Linked DNA regions of Danio rerio. The protein of the gene in region 2 binds, or shares a complex with, the protein of the main gene of each other region. Links are inferred from orthologs where the notes say so. Each region holds a gene or a part of one and is shown on either strand. Other genes may lie near its edges.

Region 1 (4,073 bases), on a different chromosome or scaffold from region 2:
AGTTGGAAATGATTATCAACTTTTTTATTAGTTCCAGACTGGACTATTGCAACTCTTGTATTTAGGAGTTTTGCCTACTTGAATTGTACGCCGGCCTGCAGCTGCTTCAAAATGTAAATGTTCAAAAAAAGAGGTGGCAGGGCTTTTTCTGTCACTGCCCCTCGTCTGTGGAATGGTCTACCTTTACATATCAGTTCATGCTCTTCCTTGGGCGCTTTTAAGTCTCATTTTAAAAATCACCTTCTGTTTCTTGCTTTTGACTAATTAATTCATTCATTTTCTTTTCGGCTTAGTCCCCTTTATTAATCTGGGGTCGCCACAGTGGATACAGTGGAATGCCAACTTATCTAGCATATATGTTATACACAGCGGATGCCCTTTCAGCCACCACCTAACCCTGGAAAACACCCATACACTCGTGCATTCACACACTTATACAGCCAATTTAGCTTTTTCAATTCACCTATACCACATTTCTTCAGACTGTGGGGGAAACCCACGCCAACACAGGGAGAACATGCAAACTTGACACATGAATGCTAACTGAACCAGCCGGGACTCGAACCAGCAGTCTTCTTGCTGATAGGCAATCGTGCTATACCCACTGCGCCTCCGTGACGCCCTGATTATAATTATAAATATAGAAATATAGATTTTGTTTGTTGGTTGTTTTGTAAAGCACTTTGGTCAACATCTGTTGTTTTTAAATGTGCTTTATAAATCAATCAATCAAACAAACAAACATTTATTATATTTAATTTTATATTTACTGTTAATTTAAATTGTTAAAATATTACAATTTTTGATGGTGTTTTTCTTACAGGATCAGCACTTTTACATACGATTTATTGTTTCATAAGAGGCCCCACATCATGTGTCTATTTTAAAGACCAAAACAACAATCATTGTCAGTCTACTGCTTTTATTTTCACAATTACACAATTTCTCAGAAATAGGAACGAAAAACACGGGAAAGAAAGAAAATTCCTTTGGGCTACATAAAAAAGTATTAAACTGTCTTTCTAAAACGGCGAATGTGCTTCAAAACTAATCCAGCTGTCTACCTAGATGTCCAAGTCATCGCAGCGCATGCCCATTCATGCGTTCTAAAAAGTGCAGTCTACCTAGGCAGCTCAGTGCGTTTTTGAGACGCCGCCCTTGCAGTTGTCTGTAAAGGGAGGAGGGCAGAGCTGCTCTCAAACTCAGCACACTTCCTGCTCTTGCTGTAGTTCCATCAGTCAGTCAGTGAATCCGTGAGTCCGGCAGCGGGAGTGCAGAGGAGGGATGGCGGAGAAGAGCCCTGACCCGAGCGGCTCCAACGGTCGGCGGTGTCCCGCTCCTTCTCCCGGAGAGAGGCTGCAGCCATCCGGAAGCGGCTCTTCCAAATGGGTTCGTCTGAACGTCGGCGGCACCTACTTTCTAACGACGAGGCAAACGCTGTGTAGAGACCCGAAATCTTTCCTGTACCGCCTGTGCCAGGCCGACCCCGACCTCGACTCTGACAAGGTATTCAAACTAGCTTGATTCACTAGCACGACAATGAGCATTATTTTTCGCTTATATTGGCTCTGAGCAGTTCGGTTAAACCGGGGAAACCCGAAATGACGGCTCTGCGGTGTTCCCCTTCGCTATCTTTATGTTTTTGAATATTTTAGCTTAACGGCTAGCTGATAAAGTTACATTAAACGGAGCCCCCCTTACTAGCTTAGCTTAACCGATAACACTTGGTGTAACGTTAACGTTACTGGGTGAAGTCAACATTAGCTGTAGACCTAAAAATATGGTCAAATATGTATATTTGTTCTTGTTTGAGCATTTCGCGTTAAAATGCATAACCGTACTCCAATACCGTTTCTTATAGGAGTAACGGTAACGTACATGTCACGTTCTAACTGATTAAGTTCCACTAGTGTTGATTTAACAAAACCTTAACTCTTTAAAACGATAACATTACCAATGCTTGCTCGAGTAAACATAAAATATTACAAAGATACTTTATACATGTTTTCATTTACCCCACTGTTTAAAAAAAACTGGGATCTTGAGTTACCAAGTCGGACTAAACTATTGAAATAGTGGTCACAGTTTACATCAAGTCTTTACCATTAATTAATACGACCTAGCAATGAGCATATTTATTTAACATTTTATTTTTAAATGTATAATGTGTACCAACAATGAGCTAACAATGCAGCATAATGTTGCCATTAAGATTGTAAATACTGGAATTTGTATTAATTGTTAATTGTATGTAATGCAACACATATTGTTAAATTTACAGAAAGTCCTTGCATTTTTATAATTGCTCATTTCTTCTGACTGCTGGGTTTCTTTTTTTTATCTTTATAATTTTTGTATTGTAATATGTAGTTGGTTTTTGCCATCCATGAACATGTCTTTGGATGTGAATTGGCAATAATGTGAATAACTAATTTATACATAATAATTTAACAGTGGGCATAAAGCATATGTTTAGGAAAAAAAGTTTTGATCTTTTTAATTTAATAATACATAAAGTAAACAAACCAACAAAAAAGTAATATTTGAAGTTCTGTCAAATGATTAATCACATTAAAAAAAAAGTTCAGATTTATAAAATATATGTGCATACTGCCTGTGTTATAACTATGTCATAACTGTTGTGTAAAATATTTGTGTATGCATCTGAATTATTAGCCCCCATGTTTATTTTTTTTCTGTTTAACGGAGATAATTTTTTTCAACACATTTTTAAACATAATAGTTTTAATAACTCATCTCTAATAACTGATTTATTTAATCTTTGCCATGATGACAGTAAATAATTATTGACTAGATATTTTTCAAGACACTTCTATACAGCTTAAAGTGACATTTAAAGGCTGAACTGGGTTAATTAGGTTAACTAGGCAGGTTAGGGTAATTAGGCAAGTTATTGTATAACAATGGTTTGGTCTGTAGACTATTGAAAAAAAAAATGCTTAAAGGGGGTAATAATTTTGTCCCTAAAATGGATTTAAAAAAAATTCAAAACTGCTTTTATTCTAGCCGAAATAAAACAAATAAGACTTTCTCCAGAAAAAAAAAAAATTATCAGACGTACTGTGAAAATTCCCTTGCTCTGTTAAACATCTGTTAGGAAATATTTAAAAAAGAAAAAAAAATTCAAAAGGGGGCTAATAATTCTGACTTCAACTATGTATAATTTTTTTAAATATATTTAATTTGTACTTTGTACAGCATGTGTGTATTTATACATACACAAATATACACACTACACATGCATATATTATGTAAATACGAACTGTTATCTTGTATGCGATTAATAATTTGACAGCACTGAATATTTTACATTCATCTCATAACATTTATTTTTCATTCTTTGTGATGTAAATGTCATTCTTATGAATGCTTTTTTTATTTTTTCCAATTGCAATAATTGGCTTAATCTTTTTAAAAAATAATAATTGATCTGCAAAACAATTAGCACACAAATAAACTGGTTATATATATATATATATATATATATATATATATATATATATATATATATATATATATATATATATATATATATATATATATATATATAAATATATATTTATATTTATATTTATATATATTTTCTTCTTCTTCTTCTTCTTCTTCTTCTTCTTATTATTATTATTATTATTATTATTATTATTATTATTATTATTATTTATTATCCTCCAGCATCAGTGTTTTTAATAAATCCTTCAGTTTCTTCCATGTGTCACAAGAAGAAATGGGGTTGCCTGCATGCCTTTAAACTTTTAAAGGTCACTATGCATCATTTATTAGGGCAACGACATTTGAAAGCCGCTAAATAGACAAAGAATTTCTTCTGTCCAAAAATATTTCTTCCAAATTAATTTCCCTATCACAAGGTTGAATTTGCGTGACTTAACTGTAAAGGTCGCTCTCCTGAACGCTTTAATGCGAGCGTGAACGCTGTGGAATAAAGCTGACTTTTCTGACCTCGGTATCGATCTGTGGTAATGATGTTGTGCTGGAGATGGATCAGCGTCCCTATGGGCTCTGCTGCATGTATGTTAAATGTCAGCCACACCTTT
Region 2 (4,340 bases):
TGTAAACATATTTTAGATTTTAAATAAAGAAAGTAAACATGCATTATGGATGATGAAAAAAAAAGTCTGCAAGTTTGCAGTATACAACATACTTTATAGAAATTCTATGAATTAAACAAAGCAACCCAAAAGAAACAATGCTAATTAAAAGGATAAGAGTTGTTCCTCTACAGAGCAAACATGACTTATTTTACCTTAGATTTTTGCATTTATGAGATGAAAGTTATGGATGTGGCAGATGTGAAATTGCCACTTGTGTGACTTTGCTAAATCAAATATAATAGTTTGAAAACATTGACAGAGAGATTTTTGAGTAGTGTAAGCACTGCAAAGTATTTGCCAACACCAAAAATGTAGAAACAGTTTCGTTATTTTGGTTGAAGCTTAGTTTTTTCATGACAAGGCTGACATTTACATGGAAATGCTCAAATCTCAACATGCTTGCATTAAAACACCTGCGAAAACAAATGGGCGTTAGTTTGAAAATCAAAATAGATATTCAGAATTACATTATCTGAATAGATTTCAATTATTCCATCATAATTATACACATATCAGCTTCTGAGGTGCCCACTGCGAATCAATCTGATGCTTTTAGTTATCCACAATTACAAAACTGCATGTGTATCAATGCAGATTGCACAATGTATAATGCAAATGGATTACAAGTAATGCTTCAGCAAATGTAACACTGCCGAGTAAAACATGAACAATGACTATAATAAACATGATAAGCAAAGAACCAACTTAGGTGCATAAAAAGCAGGATGTCTGGGAGGGAGTTAAAAACAACAATGTATGCAATGAATCATCCATTATGCTTTTGTTTTAAAATAAAATCAAACAAAAGTGCATTATCTAAACACAAAAGGGTATTGTGAGAGCTTATGTGCATGACTGCAAAGAAATGTCTACATTTATAGCACCAGAAGCACAAGTTGAAATCAACAAAATGTGAACGATCACGTCACGGTGGACTCGAAACACTATTTGATATTTCACAATTGCATTTCGCGTCATAAAGGATGAGGTTATGCAGCTTTAGGTGCCACACAAAGAGCATTTTATTTAAAAAAAAACGATAAACTCTAGCTTCAAAATATGTTCCTGGAATCGTTTTTAAAACAACGAGCTTCGTTTAAGAGCAAAACGGTGCTTTTTTCGGCGTTTCAGCGGGTTAAATGAACGGCATGCTGATATGAGTGCGGAGAGGGAAGCCGGAGAGAGAGGCTACGGACGCCATCTTGTTCTTGGGCCCCACATTGAAGAATTCATTGATTCCGTTTATTTATTCATGAACGGTGTTCCTTTATCTAAATGCCAGCGAAGAGAAAGGCAAACTCGATCGGTAGGGGAAAAAAGAAGGAGGGGGCGCAACATATTTATCCCATAGCCTATATTTCCCCGACCAATCCCTTAATAGTGACCTCAATACTGAGCCGCTAGCCCGTTCTTAAAATATTCCAGCAGCGATGATAAAGGCCATCCGGCTCCATTCATTTCGCGTATCTGAAGAACTGCAAAGCTCTTTGCTGCATTACTCTGATACACGATCGCAGGAGAAAACACATCTAGCAGGTCTTTTATTCTTTATCGTCAGCAAAAGCAATTCAGCGAGAATCGTAGCGGAGCATCACCGAGATGTCGCGAAGAGAGGCAGTGCACCTATATACCTGAACAGCAAAGGCCCTTTAAACACAGGCTTAATGAAATCCAATTAGGTTGTTTAAAAGAGTAGTTAAAAGAAGCAGCGCACACTTAACGCAATAAACATTAACACGAGCTAAGTCGCTTAAATGCACACGGGATTTCGGATTACGCCATTCTGACTCGTAATAAATCCATCTCCATGTAAATGTGTGTAGGGGAAAACACACTAGGACGGCTTGTAATATACAGCCAGATGGTGTAGATTGCAATAGACGATCGGGTGAACAAATAAATGGCTAATCTTTATTTACCGACTGCATTTCGATCAATATTCACTTGTAGTACACGAGAGTGTGTAAACCAGCATTTGCCTAACCAAAAATCCTCGATTCTGTAACACAGAGGAAGGCCTAGCTGAGCTGAAAAGCCGAATATTTTGCCAGCAGAAGCTCCGGTAATTAGCCTGTTAGCTTACAGACCAGCCTCCAACCAAAACCCCCCAAACTTAACATTTAAAGCAATCTTAATTGCTATTAAAATGCCCCTATCAAGCACATTACTGAATTCCCCCAAACCTAAATTGGTTTAATTCTGAAGTAACGCCGATTTTTGGGTGCTAACAAGCGAACTCGCACTAAACGGCCTCCGGTTAAGTCGGCCGACTCAGTTCACGCCATAATGACCGAGCGAGAGATTAAATGCACTATAAATTCACATTAATAAAACACACACGATGATAACTGTTTAAAACAACCGTTTTTCGCATATTTGCCTGCCACTGTTGTGTATGTAAATCGCTCGGCTAGCCGCTACCTGCGCCTCACCCCACCCCCCTTCATTCTCTATGGTGACCAGCATTTTATCCAACAAATTCACCCGATTAGAACGAAACATTCAGTTCCACACACTTGAAATAAGCACATAGTGTTCCATACCTGTTCTCAGTCGTAAATGGCCTTTGTTTATATGGCATTGACCGAAAAAAACGATGGTGTGGCTGTCAAATCCACGCATCAACGAACAAGACGAGCTAGCTCGCTAACTAGCAGCGGGAGAAGTACCGAGTCCACTTCCACAGCGACAAAACTCGCTCCGGCGGGCGGGAAATGAGCCTGTACGAGGGGGGATCTCAACTGCGAGGAAAAGCTGCACTCATAAATGTCCGATTGGAGACTTTGGTCAGCTAATAAGTCCGTCGGTGGCCACTTCCCGTTGCCTTCCTTGAAGGAACACTTCTCTCCAGTTCAGTTCACCTCTCATCCGGCCATCAGACGGAGATGGGCGCGGTAACCCTGCAGTCTGCCCTGGGAAACCCCACGCCGCAGCGCACGGGCGAGCGGCGCTCTTACGCAGGAATGGAATTGACAGAAACATTTCCAAGCCAATTTAGCAAGATTTGAATACACTGATGTACTTTTTAAAATGCTTAACGTTTTTAAAAATATTATACAACCCATATTCCATTAATAGATTAACCTGAGCAAAGACTTTATGGAGAAGACCGAGGCTTTGTCACAATTTACTACAGAACAGGTTTTTCTCTATAGGTTTAGCTGTACTTTGTTTGAAGTGAGATTTTGATATAGGCACAAGTGCAAATTTAGAGATTTATAATAATAATTATATTAACAAAATCATTTGAGAAAAGTATTGTTTGCTAATTCTGAATAGTTAAATCATATTCGCAGCCAATGACTATCAAAGTAGTCCAACAGTGTTGATGTTAATAGTGCTAATGTTGTTTTGAGAAATCGTGTAGGGGACTTATATAATTACAGTGAATTTATTAACACTTTTGGTTTAAAAAAATACTTTGAATAAATACAAAAAAAAATGTGTTCATTGTATCTCCCTAAAATAAATGTACCTTATTAAAACCACAAAAATATATAACCATGTATCTGGCTCTCTTCCAGAGCTTACTATTAAGGGCCTCTCTATCATGGATAAAAAACTGAATAACAATTATATCAGGAAAATCCTGACTGCAGATAAAAGTGTTCCTCTAATAGCAATGGTTAAATGGAAACAAGCATTCCCTTCATTCTTTTCCCCCAAAACTCTGGTCAGATTTTACAAAATACATACTTCCCAATAAAGTAAAATAAACTATTTGTAAAATATTACATAGATATTATCCATGCAATGGTTTTATTAGTAGGTTTAAGGAAGGTTTTTCACCTTTGTGTTGTTTTTGTAAAATGGAACTGGAAACAATTCTTCATTAATTTTTCAGTTGCAGTTACACAAAACGGCTTTGGTCCCAAGTTTTCTCACTACTTTTTGAAGTGTATTGTAAATTTATCAATATAACTGATAAAATGGTTTTATTTATGGACTGCAACTCTGGGAAATGGACAAAATAACAAAAAAAATCTTATTTTATTTGGAAAGTATCACATCCGCAAAACAAAATGTATGCTGACTGTATTAAAGTGTAAACTATTCTTCATTGATCTAAATAATTTTATGATTCCCTCACTTCTATACAGAGTAATACTAAAGTTTAAGACATCCCAATTGCTGGAAAAATACTTAATGTACATAATTAATTTTTGTTGTTAATTTTCTTGAATACTGTTTAATGTATAATTATGTACTCCCCTGTTTAATCAATAAATTTTTTTTTGTTTTGAAGTCGTATTTGCACGCGATTTCAGAATATTCAAAGTAACATGCTAAACAAGAGC
Region 3 (4,015 bases), on a different chromosome or scaffold from region 2:
TTTATTTACCCTGGATCTCCATTAGGCGCCTTACAAAAAGGCTCTTATTAAATTTGTTGAAATGGCTTACACTTCAACGTCAAAGTCTCCGAAACAATGAATTTTGTCAGTTTATTTAAAAAAAAAAGTGTTTTAAAGTTGATGAAGGTGTGAATCACAAACAATCCATATGATACACAAAGCAGAGTCGTTTCTATAGCAACATGACCACAAATATCTCACCTCCTCCCACTTAAAGACAATACTGTTATTATTAATGTAGTATTTCACAAGAGAGTTCAGACATGAAGCACATAGTAAATACTTACTGTATGGGTATATAATACATATATTGCTCAAATGCAAATACAATGTAGACGAACATAACCTTGCCATATGGGACATGGATATACGCTAATATATGATCATCTTTAAACTAATTGTTTTTACATACAAACATCAAGATGAATGTTTTGTACATCAGATGAAGGTTTTGTTGAAGTTGCAAGAATGATGTAATTCTGCAATAATAGAGCAACTTCAATAATAGAGCCGATAGAAAAATTTCGGACAATATTTTTTCTCTTATCACATTATTGTGTATCAATTCTTACATTGGTATACTGAACAATAAATGGTGATGTGACGTGTGAAATTCACTTAAAGGGATAGGTTCTGTCATAATTTACTCATTCTTTACTTATTTCAAACCTTTAAGGGTTTCTTTCTTCTGTTGAACACAAAAGAAGATATTCTGAAGAATGCTGAAAGCCATGGTAGGAAAACAAATACTATGGAAGTCAATTGTTACAGGTTTCCAGCTTTCTTCAAAATTTCTTCTTTTGTATTTAACAAAAGAAAGAAATACCAAAAGGCTTGAAATAAGTATAATGAGTAAATTATGACAGAACCTATCACTTTATGTGAATTTCACATCATATCATCATTTATTGTACAGTATAACAATTTATGAATTGATACACATTAATATGATGGAAGAAAAAAATACTGTCAGTTATTTTTGTATCGGCTCAATCTCTATTATTGCATCATTCTTGATATTTCAACAAAACCTTTATCCCGACAAATTGATAACAGTACCTTTATAGCAAATATGCCTATTTTTTTTCATCAAAAAAATTAAATAAATAAACCAAATAACAAAAAAAATCTATTAATTTTAAAATCAAAATGTATGTACAAGACCAGTAAATGTTTTTATATGTGTTAATTCAGCAAATTTATAATCCTGTATGATACAGTAAGTCACTTTGCTCTGTAACTCAAAATTAAACACATTTTTAGATATATCGTCACCTTTGAGTTATAAGGTTCTATTTGACATTTTTGTCAAAATTGAGTAATTGACATATTCTTATTAAATGACAACTTATTTACATTATGGGATGATTTTTATAAGTTTTTTACATTTTAAGATTTTTTATTTTAAAAAAACAAACGTCACACATACTGTCTGCGATATGGAATGCTAAAACTTTGAAGCTCAATATCTCAAAATCATTCAGAATGCAGATAGAACCTTTTAATTCCAAGGTAACCATATATATGGGGTATATTTTTTGTGTATATTATATCTCAAAATGTAAATGTCCTCAAAGGATTAACTCACATTTCATAAAATACAAAATCTATCCCTCTAGCTAAGTAATTCAAACTTTGCAACTGGATTTGGCAAAAAAGTAGTCAAAGAATCAGTCCTCTGGGTGACAGATGGTTTAGAGCGTGCTTCAGGGCAAGCTCTTGTGCTTAGCAACAACTGACCCACTGAGCTTTCCCTCATTCTGTGCTAATCAACTGTTATTGACTCCAAATCAGCATAAACTACAGATGAAGTTTTCTTGCTGGAATTGCTATATGCCTGAAAACCAAAAAATGATTTCCCCAATGTAGCACATGGAGTTTTCTATGGCCTGAAGTAACAAATCATTTCACATCAGACAACATTAATAAAGCTTCCAAACTGGCACACGTTTTTTTGGAGAACACCTCATTGTGATACACATCTAGGCAACAATAGCTTCACCCATTTTTTATTTTTTTTTGCTGATGCTTTTCTGTGTATCTGCAAGCATCATCCTAAAAACTTTCCACTCACATACTCTGAGGCGGAAGAGGACCTTTAGATTCCCACCTGCTTAAGCCAGACTCTTTCCTGCACCCCTCTCTCTATCTCTGTGTGATCCCATGCCTTCATTCTCTGCTCTTCCTCTTTTTCACCAGCAGTCCCTCCCTGTGCTCCCACCCTCCGTACTCTAAATTCAAGAAAGTAGAGTGTTCTTCCACTTCTTACCGCAGCTTGCTGGGAGGCCAGTCCTGACCTCTTGGTAGACCCCTGTCTGGAGCTCAGTCTCTTCCAAGATTCGGAGAAGCGCCCTCTGGTGGAGGGGCGTCCAGGCCCCTGTGCCTCCTCCCTCGTGGAGCTTACCTTGAAGCCTTCTCTCCTCCCCTCCCATTTTCTTTTTGTCATAACTTATAAGATTTTCTTGATGACACTGGTATGAAAAACCACGGAAACGAGCAGCCCTAAACTATGATGATTCTTCTTCTAAAACTCTCCGCAAGTTGTCAGGTCATCTCTTTCCTGAGCTTTTCTTGAATAGAGACACAAAAGAAGTGGTGGGAGTTTGGCTTCTACACTGTTGCATGTGGTCCCGCTGCTTCAGTTAATCTACAATCCGTTGAAAGATGCAGAAGGAGAAAGACTCAAGAAAAAAAATCATACGTAGCCAGTACAGCCCCGCCTGCAAGGTTCCTCTCCGGTCTCAGCCTCCTGATGTCTTCAAACTGAGCGGGCAAAGGCAAAGCAAGTCACTCTGGAACTGAGCTCTCATCCTCACGCTCTCTCCCCACCCTCATTCACACTCCCTCCTTTGCTCCCTCCCTCTTTGCCTGTTACATCTCTCTCTCTCATCTGCTTCACTACCAGAGTTCACAGCTCACGTGTCGCCCACTCTCGACGTACGCTGTTGTGGAGATTAAAGAGTTATTCAGAACAAAAGCTGAAGGTTTCTACAGGTCTCTTACTCCCCTGTGGACACACACTGGTTTTAATCGACAGAAGAATGCGCTCTCTGGTGCAGTACAAAATGCTAAGAACTTTTAATACATCTAACATGAAATGTGAATCACCAAGATCTGCACATCTTGAGACCTTTTTTTGTTACCACTGACATGTGACCCCTAGTTAATTAATACCTTACTAACTACCTTGTGATATTTGATACTAAAGAGTCAGAGACTTGATGTTCTTCACTTGAAAACATCTCTGCACTGTCATGTGTACAACCAGGGGAAAACAGACCTACTTTACATATATAGAAATTGAGGAACATCCTCCTACTGATCTGATAAAAGCCTAATTTCCACTGCGTGGACAAGAGTATGGTGTGATTTAAAAAGGAAAGCCTGAATATAACCGGTGTATGCTGGAAAAATACACAATCAGATGCAGTCAATAGTCATGGTAAATGGTAGAAAATTGCAATCGGTGGAGGATGCACGATTGATGATTCTCTGACAGGTAATCAATGTTTTGAAGTGAGTCTCTCCACCCTTTAGCTATTGGTCTATACCCAGTATAAACAAGCAAATCAAGGCAATCCAATTTATCAATGTATCTGCACAAAATTGTAGCAATATTGTACTATTATAGCACAGTGATACACACTAATAATCGAAGACAAACTGATTCATGATAAAAACAACCTGACAATCAATGGATCCTATTTACATCTAGAATATTGTATATTGTGTTTTGTAAGTCCCACCCACTCATAGTTGCCAAGGTTACCACAAGAAAACACTAGTCCAGCAAAGCTGCTGGTTCATTATCATTCCAGTTTACATCAACGCCTAACCTATAAAAAAAATGTGAAACATATACCAAAGCAGCAATTATAGCACATACTGTCAGAGCTTTATTATTAATTGGTCAAGCTAAAAAATAAAAATACTTAGTTTTAAGACAATTAGAATTCTAGCAATAAAATTGAACAGGATTGTTTTTGTAAAATGA

Evidence for each region.
Region 1: the proteins of gnb1b (region 2) and kctd5a are in contact, whole or in part, in a cryo-EM structure (PDB 8U7Z), measured with the Homo sapiens proteins. The link is inferred for Danio rerio from reciprocal best matches to the Homo sapiens genes GNB1 and KCTD5. Residues at the interface, in NP_001269468.1 of Homo sapiens: Arg52, Gly53, Leu55, Lys57, Tyr59, Gln75, Asp76, Gly77, Lys78, Thr87, Asn88, Lys89, Val90, Ala92, Pro94, Leu95, Arg96, Ser97, Ser98, Trp99, Met101, Leu117, Gly131, Asn132, Val133, Arg134, Val135, Thr143, Tyr145, Gly162; in NP_061865.1 of Homo sapiens: Val157, Arg159, Val160, Leu161, Gln162, Cys163, Gln164, Glu166, Glu167, Gln170, Met171, Thr174, Met175, Ser176, Asp177, Trp179, Ser190, Tyr191, Val205, Lys207, Leu209, Glu219, Ser221, Lys223, Ala224, Leu227, Gln228, Arg230, Gly231, Ser232.
Region 3: the proteins of gnb1b (region 2) and trpm3 are in contact, whole or in part, in a crystal structure (PDB 6RMV), measured with the Mus musculus proteins. The link is inferred for Danio rerio from reciprocal best matches to the Homo sapiens genes GNB1 and TRPM3. Residues at the interface, in NP_001153488.1 of Mus musculus: Lys57, Tyr59, Trp99, Val100, Met101, Leu117, Tyr145, Gly162, Asp186, Met188, Cys204, Asp228, Asn230, Asp246, Arg314, Trp332; in NP_001349418.1 of Mus musculus: Lys615, Arg616, Lys618, Ala619, Lys621, Leu622, Leu623, Gly624, Met625.

The regions. Positions count from the first base shown.
Region 1 is NC_133178.1:44,428,529-44,432,601, reverse strand, and holds the start of kctd5a (BTB/POZ domain-containing protein KCTD5a), read left to right. Parts: upstream 1-1,252; 5' UTR 1,253-1,284; coding exon 1,285-1,506; intron 1,507-4,073. UniProt on the Homo sapiens protein: Its interaction with CUL3 suggests that it may act as a substrate adapter in some E3 ligase complex. Does not affect the function of Kv channel Kv2.1/KCNB1, Kv1.2/KCNA2, Kv4.2/KCND2 and Kv3.4/KCNC4.
Region 2 is NC_133181.1:56,064,985-56,069,324, forward strand, and holds the start of gnb1b (guanine nucleotide binding protein (G protein), beta polypeptide 1b), read right to left. Parts: upstream 2,865-4,340; 5' UTR 2,586-2,864; intron 1-2,585. UniProt on the Homo sapiens protein: Guanine nucleotide-binding proteins (G proteins) are involved as a modulator or transducer in various transmembrane signaling systems.
Region 3 is NC_133180.1:26,453,498-26,457,512, reverse strand, and holds the start of trpm3 (transient receptor potential cation channel subfamily M member 3), read right to left. Parts: upstream 2,822-4,015; 5' UTR 2,468-2,821; coding exon 2,291-2,467; intron 1-2,290. UniProt on the Homo sapiens protein: Constitutively active, non-selective divalent cation-conducting channel that is permeable to Ca(2+), Mn(2+), and Mg(2+), with a high permeability for Ca(2+).